2 linked regions of the Coturnix japonica genome follow. The protein of the gene in region 1 interacts with the protein of each later gene in a biochemical or structural test. Links are inferred from orthologs where the notes say so. Each region holds a gene or a part of one and is shown in the gene's direction. Other genes may lie near its edges. The genes, in order: SEC31A and SEC13.

The links.
Region 2: the proteins of SEC31A (region 1) and SEC13 form a complex in vitro, tested with the Homo sapiens proteins (2 studies listed by BioGRID and IntAct, with this or other methods). The link is inferred for Coturnix japonica from reciprocal best matches to the Homo sapiens genes SEC31A and SEC13.

The regions. Positions count from the first base shown.
Region 1 is NC_029519.1:41,242,083-41,252,632, forward strand, and holds part of SEC31A (protein transport protein Sec31A), read left to right. Parts: intron 1-1,117; coding exon 1,118-1,316; intron 1,317-2,124; coding exon 2,125-2,220; intron 2,221-2,770; coding exon 2,771-2,911; intron 2,912-3,690; coding exon 3,691-3,833; intron 3,834-4,495; coding exon 4,496-4,595; intron 4,596-5,445; coding exon 5,446-5,607; intron 5,608-5,806; coding exon 5,807-5,959; intron 5,960-7,748; coding exon 7,749-7,985; intron 7,986-8,539; coding exon 8,540-8,614; intron 8,615-10,423; coding exon 10,424-10,480; intron 10,481-10,550. UniProt on the Homo sapiens protein: Component of the coat protein complex II (COPII) which promotes the formation of transport vesicles from the endoplasmic reticulum (ER).
Region 2 is NC_029527.1:16,779,575-16,790,582, reverse strand, and holds SEC13 (protein SEC13 homolog), read left to right. Parts: upstream 1-5,540; 5' UTR 5,541-5,567; coding exon 5,568-5,642; intron 5,643-6,226; coding exon 6,227-6,390; intron 6,391-6,747; coding exon 6,748-6,899; intron 6,900-7,761; coding exon 7,762-7,895; intron 7,896-8,602; coding exon 8,603-8,736; intron 8,737-8,961; coding exon 8,962-9,082; intron 9,083-9,281; coding exon 9,282-9,428; intron 9,429-9,849; coding exon 9,850-9,960; 3' UTR 9,961-10,662; downstream 10,663-11,008. Other genes in the region: cullin-associated NEDD8-dissociated protein 1-like, read right to left, coding at 108-364, 1,009-1,132, 1,551-1,705, 2,541-2,684, 4,542-4,609. UniProt on the Homo sapiens protein: Functions as a component of the nuclear pore complex (NPC) and the COPII coat. At the endoplasmic reticulum, SEC13 is involved in the biogenesis of COPII-coated vesicles.

The DNA.
Region 1 (10,550 bases):
ATCAGTGCCCTGCAGTCATTGCTTTTGTAATATGTGGGGAGGTGAGGAAGAGCCAGCAGAGCCACAGAATGCCTGAAGGCCTGAGCTGTGGGCAGAGCTGCTGTTGATACTCCTTAGTGATCCACTGGCGGCAGAGTGAGGAGTTTGAACCTGGATTTTGCCTTTTCTTAACCCATTTGAAATATAACTGATACTTTCAGAGCTTACTAACTGGCTTTTGCTTTACTGGGTTTCAGAACACACTTCTTACAGGCAGTATGCTGAACTCCTTTAAGAGTGCTTCCTTTGAGTGTTTGACTTTGCCCCCAGAAAATGACTTACAAATTAAATAGACAGAAATTGAATGTGGTAACAGGTTCTGTTACTTGTCCTCCCATGGAAAATTTCTAGGGGCTGTTATAGAACCGTATCTTGAAAAGGGCAAAGTGCAAAAGGAAAACGATTACACGATTAATTCGTTTTTGTTCCTCAGCCTTTTCTGTTTTCTTTTAGGATACTTAAGGCCTGTTGAATGTTGCTGACAGTACAATACTAATCCTCTCTGTTGATTGTTCCATTTCTTCTACCCTTGCCTAGTTACACGCTGAATTACAGAAATCAGGATACCCAGAGAAAGGGTTTGCCTGATACCGTAAAGTAGCTCGTCAGTGTAGTGTAAGCTTTCTGCTTGCCTAACATCTGTGATGTGGTAGTGTGTTGTTATATGTAGAAGAAAACTATGCTTTATGTGGTCTAATACCCAGGAATGCTGTTTTGTTTATTCAACAAGTTTGGTTTGAAGGAAATATGTGTGGGCTTTTTTTGTGCAGTGGCACGGAGGCTTGAAAGGGCTTGTGGAAGTGTATTTGATTCCTCTAATTCAGCTTGGGAAATAGATAGCGGTCCAAGTGACGTGTTTCTGATGTAAGTCATTTGCTGAGCGTCTAGTACTACAGATGGAATATTTGCACTTTCAGGAGCACTGATGAGGAAAAGGTTTGGGAGTTCTTTTCCAGCTCCATCTGTTTTTCTCTCCCTTGTACAACCAGCTGCCCACAGATAGCAGAGGCTCACCTCCAGGCTTATTGCTCGTATTATGGTGTTGGATGGCTGCAGCCTGTGTCTGTCTGTCGTGCAGGTACCACAAGCTGATCTGGGGGCCTCACAGCATGACCGCAGGCGAGAGAGTCTCTGGAGTCCTGATTGCTGGGGGTGAGAATGGGAATGTCATTCTGTATGACCCAGCCAAAATCATAGCTGGAGAATCCGAAGTGATAATTGCTCAGAAGGACAAGCACACGGGACCAGTGAGAGCACTTGATGTCAACATGTTTCAGGTGGGTTTTCGGTTGTTTATCATGTTCAGTCTTGGATGAGTGGCCTGTTTTAACAGATTGTTGCCACACACAGCTCTAAATATTTCACTTGGAAAAGGGAGTCAGAGCAAATACACCATGGTGCAGCCTCTTAAGGCAGAACTCTCAAGCTTTTCTCACTTGCTGATGAGAGTTTAGTTGCTTCTAGATTCAGCGGGTCAGCTTTTCCTCAGCCCCCCACCAGCTGCATGAGAACTGAGTTGATTTTGTTTCCTAAATAACGCTTCTGTCTATACACACTTACTTTTAGCAAGGCCACCCTTTGTTCATTGTGCCTTCTCTGAAGAGCTTCCTCTCTTTCTGTCCCTTATGAAGTTAGGACTTGCATGTCAGCGGCTGTAGGATGCAGACAAAGGGTGCTCGGTGCCACTAAACCACATCACACTGCCTGGATGTTTGCATCCTGGCCACAGGATTGGGCTGGAGGCTCAAGTGCCATGTTCCCTCCAGCCAGCCCGGCCCTGGGGCAAAATGCTGCTTCCCCATCTGCTCTATCCTAGAAATGTCAGCACTGGGCCCTCTGTGGCTGTAGCTTCTTCACATGTTTGCCATGCAGTGGAGGAACCCTCAGTGAGACAGAAATCTTGTTCTTGGCACACTGGTCTGATTTGGTGTGGGGAGTTCCTTTACTTACTTGGCATTTATCTTCAATCTCTGGTGTTGCTGCTTTTCCCTTAAGAAGAAATTGGCACAGACTCGTCAGTCTGTGGCTAAGACTGCAAAAGCTGGTGCTGAAAATACTCTTACCATATTTTAACGTGTCTTACAGACTAATCTGGTGGCCTCTGGTGCTAATGAGTCTGAAATCTATATCTGGGACTTAAATAATTTTGCCACACCGATGACTCCGGGAGCAAAGACACAGGTACTAGATAGGTATTCATGAAATACTGCAGAGTAAACTAATGGAAAACACGAATGTTACTTAGGATGTGAGCTCATTAAGACCGACAGCTTTGAAGCTGCCTGGGGGTGGGGGAGAGTGTTAAAATTTAACTTGAGTATCAGTTAATTGCAATTAACAGTGAGCTGCATTTCTGGCAATCTTAGTTACAGTCTATGTGGTAAAACAAATAACGAATACCTTCATATTAATGTAAGTAAAACCAAGTTCCTTTGCTGTATGTTGTTCCTGAGTGACTTTAGTTTGTTTTCATGTGGTCATTTTGAAGGAAGCTTGCTTTTGTTAAGGATTCCTGTGTAGGATTTTCTGTGCTGGGAGGTCTGTTTTTAAGCTGTGCAGTCTTTTAGTCCATGTGCTTATTGACTTTAGGGAATGCAGTGCGCCAAGAAGGGCTGGGTTAGCATTGCTTTTCTGTTCTGGGGGAAGGAAGTAGAAAAGCTAACAAACTTTCCCCACTCCTTAAGACATTATTTTGGAAAGGGTGTGACAGGCTGTGCTGTTTGTGTGGCAGCCTCTTGAAGACATCAGCTGCATTGCGTGGAACAGGCAAGTCCAGCACATCCTGGCCTCCGCCAGCCCCAGCGGTCGAGCTACTGTGTGGGATCTCAGGAAAAATGAACCCATCATCAAAGTCAGCGACCACAACAACCGGGTGAGTTAGCTCTGGCACAACTGCATCGGTACTTACAGGGAAGTGCAGGTGGCTTGGATGTCACTGGCAGAGCTTGGCAAGGATAGGTCGTGGTGATGGAACACCACAGAAGAATTTAACCCATGACCTGATTACCCCTACTCCCATATGCTTAAAGCCATCACACCTCCCATGCTGTCAATACAGAAAAGAGCCCACTTATCTTATGGAGAGTGAAATATTTGTATGATTTGTTATAAATATAAGTGAGTATTGCTATAAAAACACTGAGGGTGTAGCAAGTTCAGGATAAAATTTACGTGTGTGTGCTCCTGAATGAGCTGCTTGGTCACTGCATTCCTGCTCAGATAAGCTTCCTAACTTCATATTTTACATATCTGTTCCTTGATGTAATAGCAGTACGGTAAGCTGTTTTCACTGTGTAATTGTAATGCTCTGATGGAGCTTTCATGTGATGATAGCCTCTGCGTAATGATGGCTTTTATTAAAATACCAATAAATACTAAAGTAGTGAAAAAACTCTGTTCAGCTGCTTTTACAGTATTCTTGTATTAAAACAGTTATAAACAGGAGAGCCTTCAGGATCTCACTCCAAGTCTCGCTCGTGGAGATGAGGACAGTATCCCAATCTCAGTGCAGTCAGAAGCAACATCCAGAAGTACAGCTGCTAATTGGCATCTTGAGATTGTGTTTTCCTTGCAAATCTATTTAGACTGGTGGCCTTCTGTCCTTTAGCACTATGTGGTTACCCTGTGCTGTGGCACAATGTTATCCCTTAGATGCACTGTTCGGGCCTGGCCTGGCACCCCGATGTTGCTACCCAGATGGTTTTGGCTTCGGAGGATGACAGGTTACCCGTGATTCAGATGTGGGACCTTAGATTTACCTCCTCTCCACTGCGTGTTTTGGAAAGCCATACGAGGTACGAGACGCTTGTTGTGACCTGCTGCTCTTTAATGTTCACACTGTTTATGACTATAGCAGTTAGTTCATCTCACTGTTTGTGTGGTTCCCTACCAATGCTTGCTTAGGTGGAGCCACTTTCCAGCAGCAAGCAGTGTTGGATACTGCTGGCTGGAAGGGAATGGGCCTCACATTAAAAATAACTTTAAAGTTCCTGGTTTGCTTCTGTTCTGTTTGAGAAGCAGCTGGACTGCAAGGTCGGCAGTAGATTGATTTACGTAAAGAGCAGCAGTGTCTGTGTTGCAGCTACCGCCAAAACTGCTGCCAGTCGCTCAGCTGATACAGATTTTCTGCTAATAAAAAGCTGTCAGAATGTTGATAATCACTGTTTCAACCTATTAGTTTGCATAAAATGTGTTAATGATGGTGCAATCAGTCGAACCATTTGAGTGGATTGGTAACCATATCTGCATACAGAAGTGTTGAATTTAATTTTATTTAATTGAATTTTATTTATGGTGACTGTACCTTTACAGCTACTCATGCAAAAAACAGAAGAAGGAGTGGGGAGGACATTTTGACGTAGACTGCTCAGCTACTGTAGCAACTTGCTGACAAACATGCTGTATCACCATTTTGCATTCGTATTAATATGTTACTTGGTTGTGACTTCTCACACAGGGGTATATTGGCTATTGCTTGGAGTATGGCAGATTCAGAGCTGCTACTAAGCTGTGGGAAGGATGCCAAAATACTGTGTTCAAACCCTAACACGGGCGAGGTACTGTATGCACATCACTTACTAAAAACTGTTTGGAGGTGTCATGGTGTTATGTAAAGCAGCAATTTAAGAGCAGTTGATCTGTTTTCAAGCACTTTCACTAATTTTTGCAATATGGACTTCTTGCTTGTTGTGTGGGCAAGATCATTCTGCAGACAGGGAGAGATGTGCTGTCAGAATCCAGACTTGGCTGCAGAAGTGTAAGGCAAAAGGTGGGATAGCAGGTGTGTGATCCAAGCTGGATTCTGAGCTGGGGAGCTCTACGTTTGGGTGACTCATACTGCATAGTTTGATGTAAAATAAAAACCTTTTCCTGGGAGACAGTGATGCAGTTACTGCTTGGCCCCCTCAGCAAAACTTTAGTAGACAAGCAAAGAACAAATCCTTTCTTTGAGATTAAATGTCTCTTGTAGTGGTAAACTTGTCTGTTCTGGGCCAGGAGAAACTCCTGGGAGCAGCATAGGTTTTAACTCTCCCAGTTGTCCCCCAGAACATACTGCCTTTGGAGCCTGGGTGTGTTCCCATGTTTTGTGGATGAGTTACCACGAGTTCCAGCAGCTCGTCACAATGCACAGAGCCAAGTCAGTAGCTGCACGTGCAGCACAGAAATACACTGCCTGCTTAGCTGACCATATGTGGAATAAACAGAAAAGTCAATGGGAATAGGAGATAAAGCAGTGGTGTGTGGTGCTGGATTGTCACGTCCTCATTGTTAGTGTGTATGGGTGATGTGGGGGCTGCTGGGGAGCAAGAAGAGCAGCTTCGTCTCTGGGCACACAGGAAAGTTGCTGTTGCTGCTCATGGTATTTCATATTCACTCTGATGTACCGGACTTGTTTCTGCTGCCCAGGTTCTCTATGAGTTGCCCACAAACATGCAGTGGTGCTTTGACATCCAATGGTGTCCCAGAAATCCTGCCATCCTCTCTGCAGCTGCATTCGATGGACGGATCAGCATTTACTCTATCATGGGAGGCAGCACGGACGGGTTGAGGCAGAAGCACGTTGACCAGGTACTGAGAAGCATGAAGCTAAGAAAATGGTTAGAAAGGGGATAAAGCATGGGTTTGTGGGTAGCCTTTGGAGGGTGTCCCAACTGTGTGCTTGCAGGAGTACTAATCTGCTGTAGAAAAAAGAAACAGTTCAGTTTATTGGAGATGATGTCTCACTCTAGGTTTTGTGGGTTTTTTCCACACCTTTTTATTTTCAAAGCTTTCATCCTCATTTGGGAACCTTGACCCATTTGGGACAGGACAGCCTCTCCCACCCCTGCAGCTTCCCCAGCAGACTGCACCACAGAGCGTCGTTCTGCCCCTAAAGAAACCCCCCAAATGGATCCGGCGACCTGTGGGAGCATCGTTCTCTGTGAGTAGGGACCGTGTCTGGGCACAGCTGGCCAGGCAGGAGGGAGATACAGGTAGTGGTGGCACCTGCAAAGCACATCTGAAACAGGGGAATTTGTCATTGTGTTCCACATCATGAGAGTGTGCCCTGTTTGCTGGGGTGACAGGAGATGCTCAAAACAGCATCTGGACTGGGCATTTGGGACAGCATGCCAGCAAAAGCATGACAAAAATGCTTGGAGAAAGAAATGGGGAGGCATTGTGTTGCCCAGAGGCACTTCTTTCTGTTTTGGAATTGAGGGCTTTGCTTTTACTTGTGTAGTGTTTGCTTTGAATAAACAAATGTATTATTGGAAGGGACAAGTTGGGCAACTAGCTGAGATTTCAGTCCAGTTTGTAGGCATTATATGGCTCAGCGTGGAGAAAGATAACTAGGTATGCTCTGATGGAAGGTAGCAGGAGCCCCTGAAACAGCACACAGGCCTGGGCTCCTCTCTCATTGTAGGAGTTGCAGAGAAGCTGTATGACAGGCAGGCAAGGCCCTGCTTTTCATGAGAGCAGGGTCATTTGCTCTTCAGCTACCACCAGTGCCTTGCTTTCTGGACTCTGAGGCTGTTTCCCAAGAGAATTAATGAAGATTTTTAGGCAGACAGTCTACTTGAAATGGATTGCTGTGCCAAAGTACTGCCTTTGTTTTTATCAGTGTGTCTGCTTATTCGTCATCTCATCCACAAATTAAATGCAGCTTTTCTCCTCTCAAGTAGAAGCAATATTGCCTAGCCACTGATTGATGTGTCATTTTATAACAGTTTATTTCCTTGTCCTGGTTTTCCAATTTGTCAGCCTCTTTCTTGGCCATAGTTTTTGTAATGCTCACTTTGGTCTGGCCTGTGTCAGTTGACTTTAAGCTATAAAATGAAATCGTATTCTAGGCACCATTTAATGTTGTTTTTTTTTTTCCTTTCCTTTCTGTTGGTTTTATTTCTTTCTAAATTTCAATTCAATTCACTGCCGAAATTGTTTGAATTTGTAAACAGGCTGCTGTAAGTAGGGTACACATGATACTTGAGCATCTATTTAATGATGCATAGGGTTTTTTAGTGTGTTGTGGGCTAACCCTAGTAAGCCCCTGAACCTCGTTTACCTGCCCACTGGCTCTCTTACAGTTGGATTAGGTACAGAATCAGAAGGATAAAAGTGAGAAAACTCATTAATTGAGATAAAGCCGGTTTAAATAGATAAAGCAAAAGCTGCATGTGGAAGCAAAGGAGGAAGGAATACGTTCACCCCTTCCTACTGGCATGCAGATGTTTAAGCATTGAAGAAGCAGGGCTTCATCATGCATAGTGGGTATTTGGTAAGAGAAATGCCATAACTCAAGATGTCCCCCCATTTCCTCCACTCCTTGCTGGAGGGGGAGCTTGAGACACAGAATACTCTGATGTGGTGTAACTGTCATGTAGCAACAGTTAAAACAGGGGTGTGGTGTCAACGCTATTTCAATCACCAGTCCAAAACATAGCACTGCATGGGCTGCAGTGAACAAAATTAACTGCTGCCACACCTTGTACAGCACTGTCATAGCACCAGATACTCACAGACCCATTTCTCAGGTCTCACACACACTTATCCAGCGAGCTGCTTTATTGCATGGGAATGTGGGGTGGTGATACAAGCTGATATTTGTTTGCTGAATGATCATTTATGTATCAAATGAAAACATGTGCGTGTGTTATGTATGCATAGTTTTTTCACACATATCCAAGTGCGTACTTGCATTTTTACATGCTCTGCTTGTGTCTTTATTCCAGTTTGGAGGCAAGCTGGTTACATTTGAGAATGCCAAGCCTCAACAGCAGCCAGGCATTGATCAGCAGCCGCAGCGTCACTATGTCTATGTGAGTCAGGTCGTTACAGAGAAGGAGTTCCTGGCACGTTCAACACAGCTGCAGGAGGCTGTGCAGTCTGAAGGCTTTGTCAGCTACTGCCAGAAGAAAATCGATGTGGCCCAGGCTGACTTTGAGAGAAACGTGTGGGCCTTCTTAAAGGTAACAACTGAGAGCAGTCCAGGAGTTTTCATTAGCAGGGAAAGTCATTGCAATAAGGATTTCTTCTCCACATTATAGTGTTCTAGCAGAAGGGATGTTGGGAATGATGAGTGTGGACTCTGGTGCACGTAATCTCTTTTAGTAGGGTGGCCCAACAGAAAAATGAGGGTCCTTAGAGCCTGAGGTCTTCGTTGGCTTCATAGGTGACCATGAGAGCAACAAGGACTTGGAAGAGGCATCCTCTGTTTTTGTCATTCCCTTTCACTACATCTTTTAAGTGCTTCACTGTTTACTATGAACATTTAGAAGATCCCAAATGAAGCAGGTATGCACAGTTTACCTGCAATAATCAGACTGAAGTCTTGCCTACCTGCTCAGATGCTCAGTTCACTGAAGACCTTGTCGGGTTTTTTTTTTATTTGTTTTATTTTATTTTCCTTGATGCTTTCTTGTCAGTTGCTGGCTCTCACTGAGTATTTTTTCCAATTAAGTGAAAAGTCAGTGGGTGAGTGTATGGAAATCATGCATTGCAATCTAGTCTTCTTTTTTTGAAGGTGAACTTTGAAGAGGATTCACGTTCTAAATATCTTGAGCTGCTGGGATACAGGAATGATGATCTGAGGAATAAGGTAAGCGTGCCTGAGAGCTGTGCTTGTGTTAAATACTTTGCTGATGGATTTATCTGCCAAGTACAGCCTTGTATAACCAAGGTATTCATTTATGTGTGGGATATTGTAAGAGCCATTAGTGATAGCCACAGGCTATTCCAGCACAATAAACTTCTTTCTACAATGCTGTTTTCAGTGTGTTTCTCAGCAGGTAGCATTTGTCAGCGCCTGAACTTTCCTAATAGCTTGTAGGTACAAGTGTTAGCAGTGCTGCAGGATCTTCTGTACAAACATGGCAGACTCGAGTATTTGTGTTATTTGTGGAATTCCTTTGTATCAGAGAGGACTGAATATCTTGAGTAATTTTGGAATTCTTACAGCAATCGCAATTTGCTTTAGGCATTTTGTTAGTTAAGCCATCTTGGAATACAGCTCTACAATGGGAACTTCAAAGCAGCCAACAGACTTCACAGTCTAATCTACATCTGAGCTTCCCATGCTGATGAGAAATTTTTGCCCATCCAGAAGCTTTGATATCTGGTACAATTTGTTCATGTGACTTGATTGAAGATACACCCTTATTTTGTATCACCGCTGAATCTGATCTGTTCTTAGGCTTTTTGATTCAGGAACTCATAAGCCATGAGTGTCCGACTTTTTGTCTTACCTGGGCCATATTGAGTGTAGAGGAAGTTGTCTTGAGCTGCATGTAAAACATATAATACAGTTAAATATATAGGAGCAGAAAATTTTCATCAAGAATATGAAGCCAGCAGGTCAGACAGGTATGCTGTAAGCATTCTGACAAGCCTAGAATAGTCATTTTTTGTGTGGGATGTCACTCATAATTAAGATAAAAGAAAACCGAGATCACACACGGCTACATTTGGAAAGGCAAAGTCTGAATTATCAGGAAGCAATTTCTACTTCTTGGAAATGGAGGTGGAAGAACATTCTTAGCTTGGTGGTGTGATGCTGCACATTGTGACTCTTAGCTGCTTGCAGTGCTGAGCTCAGGAACTTGTCAAATGCTTTCCCAGTTGTGATGGAATGGTTTTGAATGTCTGATTTATTGCTATTGTGTCAAGCTAACATTTTGTTTTGAAAGCGTCTCCATAAAAATGACACTGTTTACCAATTAAATGCTAAACTTAGGATTATAGACAATGTTTTTGCTGGCAGTTTGTCCTTGAATCTAAACTTTTTCATTTATCATTTGTCTTACACATATGATCAGAAATGGAAGAAAACAAAACACAAGAAAACAGCTCCAACTAATATATCTTCTGCCTATATTTTAAATTCCGTTCATTACATTTCATGCAGTTTTAAGGGCCCCAGAATGAATCCGGAGTCATGATTTGTCTTGGCAAGTGGTAAAAGCTGGGAATTTGAACTCTGATGTACATTGGAAAGTCCTACCACAAGGCCACGTGCCTGCTGTGTCTGGAAACTGCTTTCAAACCAGTTTGTTGCTCCAGCAAGATTGTTACTGCTACGTTATTCCCTCATCAGGGCACACAGAGGGTTTCTTCTTGTATGCTCTGATATTATTTTTATTAGTGTGGTTTCCAGCAGCCCTAGTGAGGTTTGAGGCCCTCAGGTTAACAATAAAAGATTTAAAGGCACAGAGCAGCTCTTGTTTCCATCAGAGATTGGGGTGCACAGGGCTTAGTTGTAATTCCATCACCAGACTGAGAAAATGGCTCTAACTTCATGTTAACTGTTTTGCAAGCAGCATACCAGCTACATTTATTAGTTGTGCAGTCTGAGAGTAGTCTGTCTCTAAAGGAAAAGGGCACTTCCTTAACAAATCTTGGTTCTTTTCAGATTACATCAGCTCTGAATCTGAATAAAGAGTGTTGTGCAGATGGCGAACTGGGAGAGGTAAGCAAATGAATGCACATTCAACTCCACACATAGTATTAGAGTGCCCCAGAATAAGTCGGTTTCAATC
Region 2 (11,008 bases), on another chromosome or scaffold:
CAACCCACTAACACATCAAGAACAGACCAAATGAACTTATTTTACCACTGAGAGCTGTTTTAAAATGCATGCCTGTTTCCAGCATCATTTCAAACCACTTGTCCTACCTATGCGGTGCCCAGCCTGCCTACTGATGCCAGCAATACACTGAATGTATGTCCTGGTAGTTGAGGTAGACTCATTCTTCTTCAGCTCAGCAATAAGATGCTCTGTGAGCTCTGAGAAGATGTTCCCACTGCAAGTCAGGACGAGATGACCCAAAGCAATGATGGCTCTTTTACGTACTGCCAACCTGGGGCTTGTTAGCTGAGGAAGGAGACAGTTCAGGATGGAAGAATGGAAAGAGTAGAGTGTTCCCCCCAGCCTGCAACCAACAGAATAAACAGAATTTGAAAGTCAGCATTGCTGTCAGAGGAAAAGCTCCTGTGCCAGCAAAAAAATGTACAAACTCTTCAGCCATGAAGGGGAAGGGAGAGCAAATGGGTGGTTTTGGAATCCTGGGTTTGAACGCTGGCTTGCACTACACAACATAAGGAGAGGTTTTTTGTCTTCATTATGCAGTAATTTGATTTGATTGTGTCCTTCTAGATGACCTGGGGTTTCGTCAATAATTTCCTGCATGCAGCTGACATATGACACTGTCACTCTGACTTATGTAACAAGAGAAAGAGGCAGCCAGGAAAAAAAATGCATGTGCAATCAGATCAGAGGGCTAAAATAAACTTCCCTGCTTTGCTCTCCCTTGCCTTTATTTATTTATTTTAAACAGAGCCTCTGTGGGATCCATCACTACTGTTACCGCTATTACCCAGCACAGAAGGGCTCAGCGTGCAGCCCGTCACCCCTGCTGGGCAATCTGCTCTGCTGAGATATCCCCCAATGGCAGCCAACCCAAATCCTTCAGTTTTAAGCCCACATAGTAAGATTAGGGAAATGCAGAAATCAAAAGCAAACACACACAGCGCAGCCCCTTGCTGTACCCAGATGCCAAAGGAAATCCTTTGTTACCTGCTCAACATATCTGACAGGATGTCAAGAGCCTCCAGCTGCACAGATACATCCTCCTGCTTGCCAATAGCTCCTGTCAGCTGGGCTGTGATCTTTTTGCATACATTTGCTGTCATTGTGGAACCTGCAAGACAGAGATCTTCCCTATCACTTAAAAGGAGGTCTCAATCCTACATTAAAAATAAGAATTCACCACAGGAAGAGATGAGAAGAGCGACAGTCAGTCAGCTTTTGTTTGAGATGAAGGACAGACATCACCAGCAGCAAGGTGCATCCAGCTGCAGGAGCGGATTTCCCTAAGAACTCAGATACAGTTTCAGGTATAAGTATCCTCCCATTAACCAGCTCAAGAGATTTCATGTAATCTCATCTCCACCCATAGCAGTATTTCAGCTTGAACCATCTTTCCTCCTCCCTTCATTTCTTGTCCCCCAGCTGGTGAATATTTATACTGTTCAGACTCTAACCAACCCATTTTCTTGCTTCCCAAAGGCTATGATTCCCTTCTGCCTCAATCTATCAGACAGGGACAAACATTTTACCTGTAGAAGCTGGCGGCAACTCAGAGATAACTGTTTTCAGTCCAATGCTGGAGATGTCCCGCAGCTGTTCCTTGTCTGACAACATGTTTGTGCATAGTGTATCTACAATGGTCTCCACTTGATACTCCTTCACTTTGCTCACCAATGGGCCGAGGCTGCAGAAGGAGAACCAAATAAGAATGAACACAAAGAGGACTGCTTTCCCAAGTCATGTTTTGAAACAAAATCATCCGTAAGAAACTGACTTCCTAGAACAAATGCCAAATGATTTTTATACGCTATTAACTATCTATTGTCCTCTGCCACGTGTGTGAGAGCCTCCTCTTGAGCCAAGTCTCAGAACTGCTATGAGAAGTCTGCTCTCTTCACTCCGCACTTTTTATTGTTATTACTAATATTATTATTACCATTATCAAAACTTTTTAAAACCTACGTTTACTGCTTGTGTGTTTGTATTTAAAATTGTGCAAGATGTGTTTGACAGCATTTGTTTGCAATTATTTATTTTAATTCGCACCCATTACAAGCTAAATAGTTTAAAAACATAAAGCAGTAATTGTATATCAGCAATATACATGTCATCAGCTTAATACCATATGTAACAGTGACAAGGCCACTGGGAAATTCTGCACCAGATTTCAAGCCTTTCTAAAGGAGAAGAGCTTGATGTCCCAGAACTTTAAACTGAGCTTCTCTCTAAAGAACTGAAATCTCAGGCATTCTGCCTCACAGCTTGGTAAGAACTCAGTTACTTCTGAAATCACCTACTGCTTGAACAAAGGCATCTGCATGCTCACCCTGCCTGGATGAGGGTGAGGGTTCCCAACAGGAAAAGAAACTCGTGTGCAGCAGGTGAGGGAAAGCTCCCAGGAGGGGAGGCTGGAGCAGGGTGCCAATGCAGCAGAAGCAGCCTCCATTGCAACACCCAGTGGAGTCTGTGACCACTTTGTTATTGCCAACAAACACGGTAATTTCTGACACGGCTCTTACCATTTGACAGCGAGGTTCTGTACCTCCCCATTTTTGTCTTCCAGCAATTTCAAAAGCATCTTCACGACTTTCTTCTCACTGTCTTCATCCAGTTTTATAGAATCTTTTTGTAGTTCCATCATCAGGTCATTGGTGGCCATAAATCTGAAAGAAATGTAGCAGTGGTGGACTGGCTGATACACAGACACAAATGCATCTCCTTCTCTTGACAATCACTCTTTGTACAAAAACAGATTTTCAAAGTAACGTACAATACTTTACACTCTAATGAAAAAGACGGTACATAGAACTGATACTTTTTGGCAAGAAGAAAACTTAGAGCAAGGCAGCTGGTGAAAAGGCTTTGGCTAAAAAGTCTACGAAAACAAGAAATAGAGATTCTCTTCTAAACATACTTGACAGGGATGGGTTATGCTACAACTGAAACAGGCACTGTGGGACCTGTTGTGCATTTTCTCTCAGTGCCCAAATGAGCACGGCTGAGTACGGTAGAAAAAACAGGAGTGGTTTTTCACCAACTGTCAGACTTAGGAAACCAAGCATGGGGTGTGAGAATGCAGCTGGCTGTGTTCCTTCTGACATCGCTGGCAATGACAGCACAGTCCCACACACTGAGAAAGTCTATCAAGCTCAAAAATGGAAAATCAAGTCATGGCTCCATACCAGACCTTTAAACTTCTTCTGTACCTTAAAAAAGTTCCTTTATACCTTATAAAAAGATCTCTACCATAAAAATTCCCCACTTATATTTAGAGCTGCACTGCTCAGCTCAACCTCCCTCCTTCTCACACCCTCCTGCTCCCTGGGGCTGGTACAGGTCCTGGCAGCTGTGTTGGCTGTAACCTGCCCTGTTTCCTCGCTCACACCTCTCGCAGAGCTTTTTTTTCTGTTCTAAAGAAAAGTACAGACATCTACTGCTGCTCTCACACTGCCAGCCCTGAGTGTTCCACATCCTCTTTCTGATGCTACAGTATCCCTTTATTAAGGAACACTCCTCTGCTCTTTATTCCATATCCACCACCAATCAAATTCATTCGCATTTTATTTACAACCTAAGACAGTATATGGCACAACATTTCTCTCCCATGAGCAAAACCAAGCAAGTACTTCTCATCCCAGCTTAGGAGAAAAACAACACCTCTGACTTTTAGCCAGTGTAATTTCCTACAGGCACAACGTCAAAACGCACAATGAGAAATTCTGTAACCCTGTTCTCCTAAGGGCAGAAAATGTACAGGAGCCCGAGGCTCTCAGCAATGCACGTACAGATACCACATCTTAACTGCTGTAATGTGCTCCTCGGACAGGGACGGGTGTCCGAAAGGAGCCGAGGAGGAGCTCCCCCCTCATCGGACGACACCTCCATGTTAAATCCGGCTCTGCTGTAAGTCATTCAGCATTAAGGAAGAAATGCCCCTCCGGGGTTCGGGGCTGTCTCCCACACGCGAACCTTCCCCAGGGCGGCACGAGGGCAGCGGCGGCATCAGGCTGACCAGAAACACACGCAAAACCCAAAACTCAGAACCGCGGCACTTCTGATCCGGAGGGGCCCCGAGCTGCACCAGCGCTGCCTGCACAGCACGAGCATGACCAAGTATGGCCACCGGCCGGCGGGATGAGCGGAGCACGGGGCTGGGGCTGGGGCTGGGGCTGGGGCTGCTGCTGCTGCTGCTGCTGCGGGCTGCATGAGGCGGGTAACGGGCAGGGCGGCACCTCTGGGCTGCCGGTAACAGCTGTCACAGGTGTCGGCCGTAACGGACCGAACGCACCCGCCGCACAGCCGGGGCGCCGAGCCGCCCGTCCCGCACCTACGGAGTTCTTTCTTTCTCTACTGACATCCAGAATGAGACAAAGCGGCCCCTCTCGCCCTACCCCCCCAGTCCCGCGGTCCCGCAGCACGTCTGACAGCTCCCCGCGTGCGGCCATAGCCCGGCGTCGGGCCACGGCTACCGGGCGGCGGGGACGGCCCGCCCAGGGGAAACCAGGAGCTCCGTCCCGCACCTGAAGTCCTTGTCGGTGGAGGTCATCTTCTCCAGCAGGCTGGAGATGTGGTACGACACGCTGGCCATAGCGGCGGGGCGGCACGGCGCCGGGCGCCCGCAGGAAGATGGCGGAGGGCGGCGGGGCCGCGCAGTCCCCGCGGGGCCGCCCCCACGGCGGCGGGACGGGCTGCGGGGCAGCCGCCTGGACGGGACGCAGCCGGAGCCGGGCGGCGGCGTCGGGCCTCGGGCGGCCCCTGCCGGCGGAGCGAGGCGGCGGCGGACAGAGCGAAGGCAGCTACCGGAGAATCGCACCGAGCGGCGGCTGACAGCGACCGCCGGACACGAGAACTGCCGCACCGCGAGGAACGGAGCGGAACGGAGAGAGAGCATCAGCACGGGACAACGGAGAGAGCATCAGCACGGGACAACGGAGAGCATCAGCACGGGACAGAGGAGAACATCAGCACGGGACAACGGAGAGCATCAGCACGGGACAACGGAGAGAGCATCAGCACGGGACAACGGAGAGAGCATCAGCACGGGACAACGGAGAGCATCTGCACGGGACAGCGCCGCCTTCCCCCATCCTGCGCACGGCGCCGGCCGGAACTGGGTGCGGGCGGAACCTCCTGCGCGGGAGGCGTCGCGGCGGGGCTGTTTGTGCGGCGGACCTTCGTGCCACGTCCGAGCCGCTCGGCCGCCTGCGGATCCATCGCTGCCGCCGCTGCACGGCCCGCAGCCGCCGCTATGGTGGGTAGAACCGGGGAGGGCAGCGGGGCCGAGCCCGGGCCCAGCTCCGCGGGGCGGGGAGGTGTCTCGGGGTAGAGCGGGGGGCGGCGGAAGAAGGTGGCGGAGGCAGCACCGCGGCCTGCGGGACCGGGAGAGGCGCTCCGCTCTCCGCAGCGGCCCGTGTGTGTGTGTGCCCGTAGCCGAGCGCTGCTCCCTGACCACAACCCTCCCTCCGCAGGTCTCCGTGATAAACACCGTGGACACCTCTCACGAGGACATGATAGTAAGTGTGTGCCGTGCTGCTGCCTTCAGCCCAATGGGTTGGACCGGGACTGCTGCGTGTTCGTTAGTTGGCGGTCAGAGGGCAGAACGCGAGTATCTGCACGGAAAGGTGACGTGGGACGTGAAATACCGAATCCTGACTGCAGTTCTGATAGTGCTATAATCATAATCATAATGGGGAGCGGGAAAATGGGAAGGAGGAAAAGTTTAACGCTCACAGTTTCCGTGCCCAGGGTTGTTTCTATGGAACAAAGACGTGTGCTGAATGGCACAGAGTGTGGGTGGACAGCTCTGCTCTCCTTGATGCTGGTGTTTCTGGGAGCAGCTGTGCAGGCATAGGAGGAGGGGTTACAAAGCAGCTTATGAAAGCAAGGAGTGCTGATAAATGCTGATGTTTCAAGCCCAATAAAAGCTGTTAGTGCAGTTACACTGAACTTACACAGTAAGTATGTAACTTGGTCAAGGCTTTGCGCTCAGTGACACCAAGCTCCTGTCCTGAGGGTGCTGTGCAGCCCCACTCTAAACCCGCACACTGCGCACGTAACAGTCAGAAAATGGCAGGTGGGGAAATGAATGACTGGTGTGGTTTGTCTGGGTTATTTAAGACCTGTTCCCCTCGCCCTGTCCTGCTGCCACTCAGTGACCTGTTTGCAGCTCTTAGAGCTACTTCTGAAATGTAATGATGTGATTTAGAAAGCAGAACTCACACGGGCCAACAGCACCTTGTGCGTTGCCTTGCAGCACGATGCGCAGATGGATTACTATGGCACTCGGCTGGCGACCTGCTCTTCAGACAGATCTGTGAAAATCTTTGATGTTCGGAACGGAGGGCAAATCCTCATTGCAGACCTGAGAGGGTAAATTGTCTGAAAAGATGACGTTCTTTGCAAGTCTTTAATTTTTTGTTGTTTAGCCTTTCAGTGACATAGGATGCGTGGTAAATTCTCCAGGGTGGTTCTTTGTGGCGTGTTGTTCTAAATAATTCTATAGAATTGAACTCAGAGTCTTAATCCAAGGATAAATATTTGGAGTTGTGTTCAATGGTAATGGCTTTATCTGGCAGTCGTGCCCTATTTTTCATCTTGATTTTACTCATATTCTTTATATCATTGTATTAGTGATGTACAGAACAATGGTTTGTGATGTGATGGCTTAAACAGCCACAACCAGAATGCATCTCTATCAGCTCTTCCAGATAATGTTGTTTCTTGCAGGCATGAAGGTCCAGTATGGCAGGTTGCCTGGGCTCATCCTATGTATGGAAACATCTTGGCTTCCTGCTCCTATGACAGGAAGGTTATTATCTGGAAGGAAGAAAATGGCACTTGGGAAAAGACCTACGAGTACACAGGACACGATTCCTCAGGTTTGTGGTGTGTGGAGCTGGGACTGCAATGGGGTTTGGACTGGAATAAATCCGTCATTGTTTAGGCAGAAATCTTCCATCAGATTGTGATAAGTTAATGGAAAGAAGACACTAAGTCTGTTCTGCGCAGGAAGGACATCTGCAGAACAGCATCCTGCTGGAGAACCAGCTGTCTTGGTACATACAGCATTTTCACAGGACAAGTAAATCAGCTTTGGATAAATAAGGTTGTAGGATACTGAAGTCTTGAAATAGTGTTGTATGTATCCACTAAGGAGGAAAGGAAAAAGTGGAATTTTAGTATGCTGTGTTTGGTTTTCCAGTTGAAAGTGTTTTGTTGAGATGATCAGTCCTCCTATAAGCAAAGCTGAAATATTTCTGAAGTGTTCAGCATGCCAAAGCCCATAGAAAGAAATGCTGCTTTGCTGTTCAGTATTGTTCTTTATTCTCAAAGGAATCAACTAGAATATACTCTTGGTCCATGCTCCTGAGACTAAGCCAGTGTTAAAAATGAGTGTATAATGGATGCATACCTTGGTTTTGCTACTGATCTGGACTTTAAATGCTGTTCCAGCTTGTCAGTCTTTGTTCTAGAATCACTGATACCTCTTCGCTGTTGCACAGGACAGTCAAGAGGATTTTATCTCACTGAAAGTGCTGTTCTGGTGGTCTGCTACAACTAGAGGCAGTTTTCCATCATACGATAAACTGTGGTAATTGTCTGCTGAAATTCAGGAATGCAAAGACTCTTCTTAGCTTGCAAAGCTGCTCGCTTTTAGTGACCATTCACTGGTACTAGTCAGTGATTGGGTTAAGCAGTTTTAGCACTGTGTTGTAACCCAGTCTGTCTCATCCCTCACAGTGAATTCTGTCTGCTGGGCACCACATGACTATGGACTGATCTTGGCCTGTGGGAGCTCTGATGGCGCCATTTCATTACTGAGCTACACTGGTGATGGGCAGTGGGAGGTGAAAAAGATCAGCAACGCACACACTGTAAGTTGGAGCCATGGATGAGGATTGAGCTGATGCTTCAGAGTGTGCAGACTAAATAAATACTGAAATACAATTAAATATTGTGAATTGTTCTCCAAAACCGAAAAATAACTTGTTTTAAATAAATCTAAAGTAAGAAAGTATGTTTTATAGTAAGTGAAGTGAAGTAGAAAATAAGAGGTGAAAGCCATTAAAGAGCACTGATAGTACATCTGATCATGACTGTTAAACACAGTGCTGGAAGTGACATAGTGGGAAATGGCTTTGATACTCAGAATACCTCGTACAACCTGGCTGTGAGTAAACTTCAACAAGAAGCTGGAAAAACTGCAGGGAAAAACTCGTGGTTTTCCCACAGCAGTGGGACTTCTTGTTTAAACAAAACTTGACAGCCATCTAAGCAGATAATGATGGTGGCTTGCATTAAAAGAAAACGGAGCTGTGGGCACACAGATTCTTTCTGCATTCCTCACTCTTAGCAACAGCATACATCTTGCACCTCTGCTTTTTTTTTTTTTAATCTATCTCCACTGTATACATTTCCAAAATGATATTTGCCTGTAAGACAGTTACTTGGCTACATAACACTTCCTGAATAAATGTCCAGTCAAGAATAGAACAATGTTTGGAGTTCTTATCCATCCAGCATAGATGTCCTTTGCTCCCTCCACAGCTTTTAGTAATGACCTTATTTTTTCCTTGCATAGATCGGATGTAATGCAGTTAGCTGGGCTCCTGCTGTTGTACCAGGCAGCCTCATAGAGCAACCGTCTGGTCAGAAACCAAACTATATCAAAAGATTTGCATCTGGTGGTTGTGACAACCTTGTCAAGATCTGGAAGTAAGTGCTCTCTTACCAGGCTTAAGAACTTCATTCTTTATGGTTTCTGAATGTCTGTATTAGCACCTTGAATTATACTTCAGGCATCTATATGCTTTCATCTTTAACTATCTTTTACTATTTTAGAAAAGCACTTTAAAAATAGAAACAACTTAATGTCTTAGAAACTCTCATAGCAATTCGTGTGAGATCTGCTTAATCTTATCTGTGTAAATATGTTTTCAGAGAAGAAGATGGTCAGTGGAAAGAAGAGCAGAAGCTGGAGGCACACAGTGACTGGGTCCGAGATGTAGCCTGGGCTCCATCCATAGGCTTGCCAACAAGTACTATTGCTAGCTGTTCACAGGTGAGACTTAGGTAGGAGTGAGCTGTACTTACGCCTTGCTTTTGGCTATAGAAAGGAAAAAGACCGTCATGTACAGTGAATATGCAAATAGACACATTTAGAGTTCATGCCTGTGTAAGTGCAGTCATCATTGGCAATGCAGACAAGCTTGGTTTTTGTATTACTAACTCATGGTAGCCAATTCTGTTTGTTGTTATAGGATGGCAGAGTGTTTATCTGGACGTGTGATGATGCCTCTGGAAATTCATGGTCACCAAAATTGCTGCACAAGTTCAATGATGTTGTTTGGCATGTGAGTTGGTCCATTACTGCAAATATACTCGCAGTGTCTGGAGGAGACAATAAAGTGAGTACTGCAGCCTCAGTTTGCTCTTGCATGTCATATTTTCACTTTTGTTGTTTTGAGTTAAGACTTTTAAAGACTTCCCTTTGATGCAGTGGTGTTTTTTTGTGGTTATTTATTTATTTACCTAAAGGGGAGGAAGACTCCAACCTCTGGCAAACTACATGCACTGCATTCTTAGTCCTGATTGGAAATGTAGGCTTAATTTTATTTTGTAAGGATATTACCATTGGAATTAATTCTTACTCCCTTTATTGCTGGATAATGATTTAGCAAACAGCAATAAATAATTTGATGCTTGAAAGAACTCTGACACACTGCTATACTTATAGACCATTACCATCTTAGTGATGCAATCATTACAAAGAAAATGAGAAACTGAGAATGTGTAAGACTTAACATCTTTTCCTGCTCTGTTTTTGAGGTCACGCTGTGGAAGGAGTCAGTAGATGGGTTGTGGGCATGCATCAGCGATGTCAACAAGGGCCAAGGAGGAGTGTCTGCCATTACAGAAGGGCAGCAGAATGAGCAGTGATGAGGACTGACCAGTCCAGCTGCTGGAAGTGATGGCTATACCTGATTTGCAATGTTTCTTGAATCAGATGAGAACTGGTTTTATCCAAGCTGGACGTGAACATGGGAAATAATTAGCCAATTCTATGAGCAATCTTAAACAATACTGGGGGGCTACATTGTGTAGAAAATCAGCCTTACTTGACATTCCCTTAAATTAAAGATGAAGAGAGGAGCAAAGTATTGTGCCTTGTGCTACTCCCTAACACAGTAAAAACTGTAACCTGCCTTCTAGTTTAGGAGTTAGATTTAATTGGATACACTTCAAGCACTTGAGCAGGAACAGGAGGAGGCAGGCAATGAAAGTGCTCGTGTGTGAAACCATCTGTGTAACCCATCTGGCCACTCAAAGGCCAAAACTACTTCAAGTGATGGAGCAGGCTGGTGGAGTCAGCAGTAGCCAGTGTTCTGGTAGTACTGAAATGGTGTGTGGGTTTCCCTGAAAGTAATATGCTCAGATACATGAAAATCTCAGTGCATTCCCAAAGATGAAAAAGAGTAGCAGAATGCATATCTATTTTGCTTTACGCTAATCTCAAACTTGTTTATTTAAAGAACATCAACAAATGAAAATACAATTTGAAGACTTTTTTTTTTTAGCCACAATTCTATACTGTACCTCAGGTTTTTGTTTAGACAATAAAATAAAGTCTTATTGGTTAAAGTCTGGTGTGCTGTATTTGGAAATCTTTCACAGGGGGCCTTATTGGGGTTTTCTGTAGTCTACCTTGACAGATGCCTTAGTGTGGCTCTCATGTATGGTATTTAGCTTCGTAAGGGCTAATAAGTGCCAAGTCTAGCCAGAGTCCACAGTATACCATGACAATGCAGGGGACTTCTGTTAGGACCCAGAAGCTCTCCAGTGGTTCTTATTATTATCCACTGCCTACTTTCTTTGTGCTCCTTGGTGTTCTCTACCAGCAGGCTCTCAGACAAAAGTCAAGATGGTGATCTAATTCTACCAGAACTTCTTAACATAGCTCTGTTGCAGAGGGCATTTGTTCTCAGCT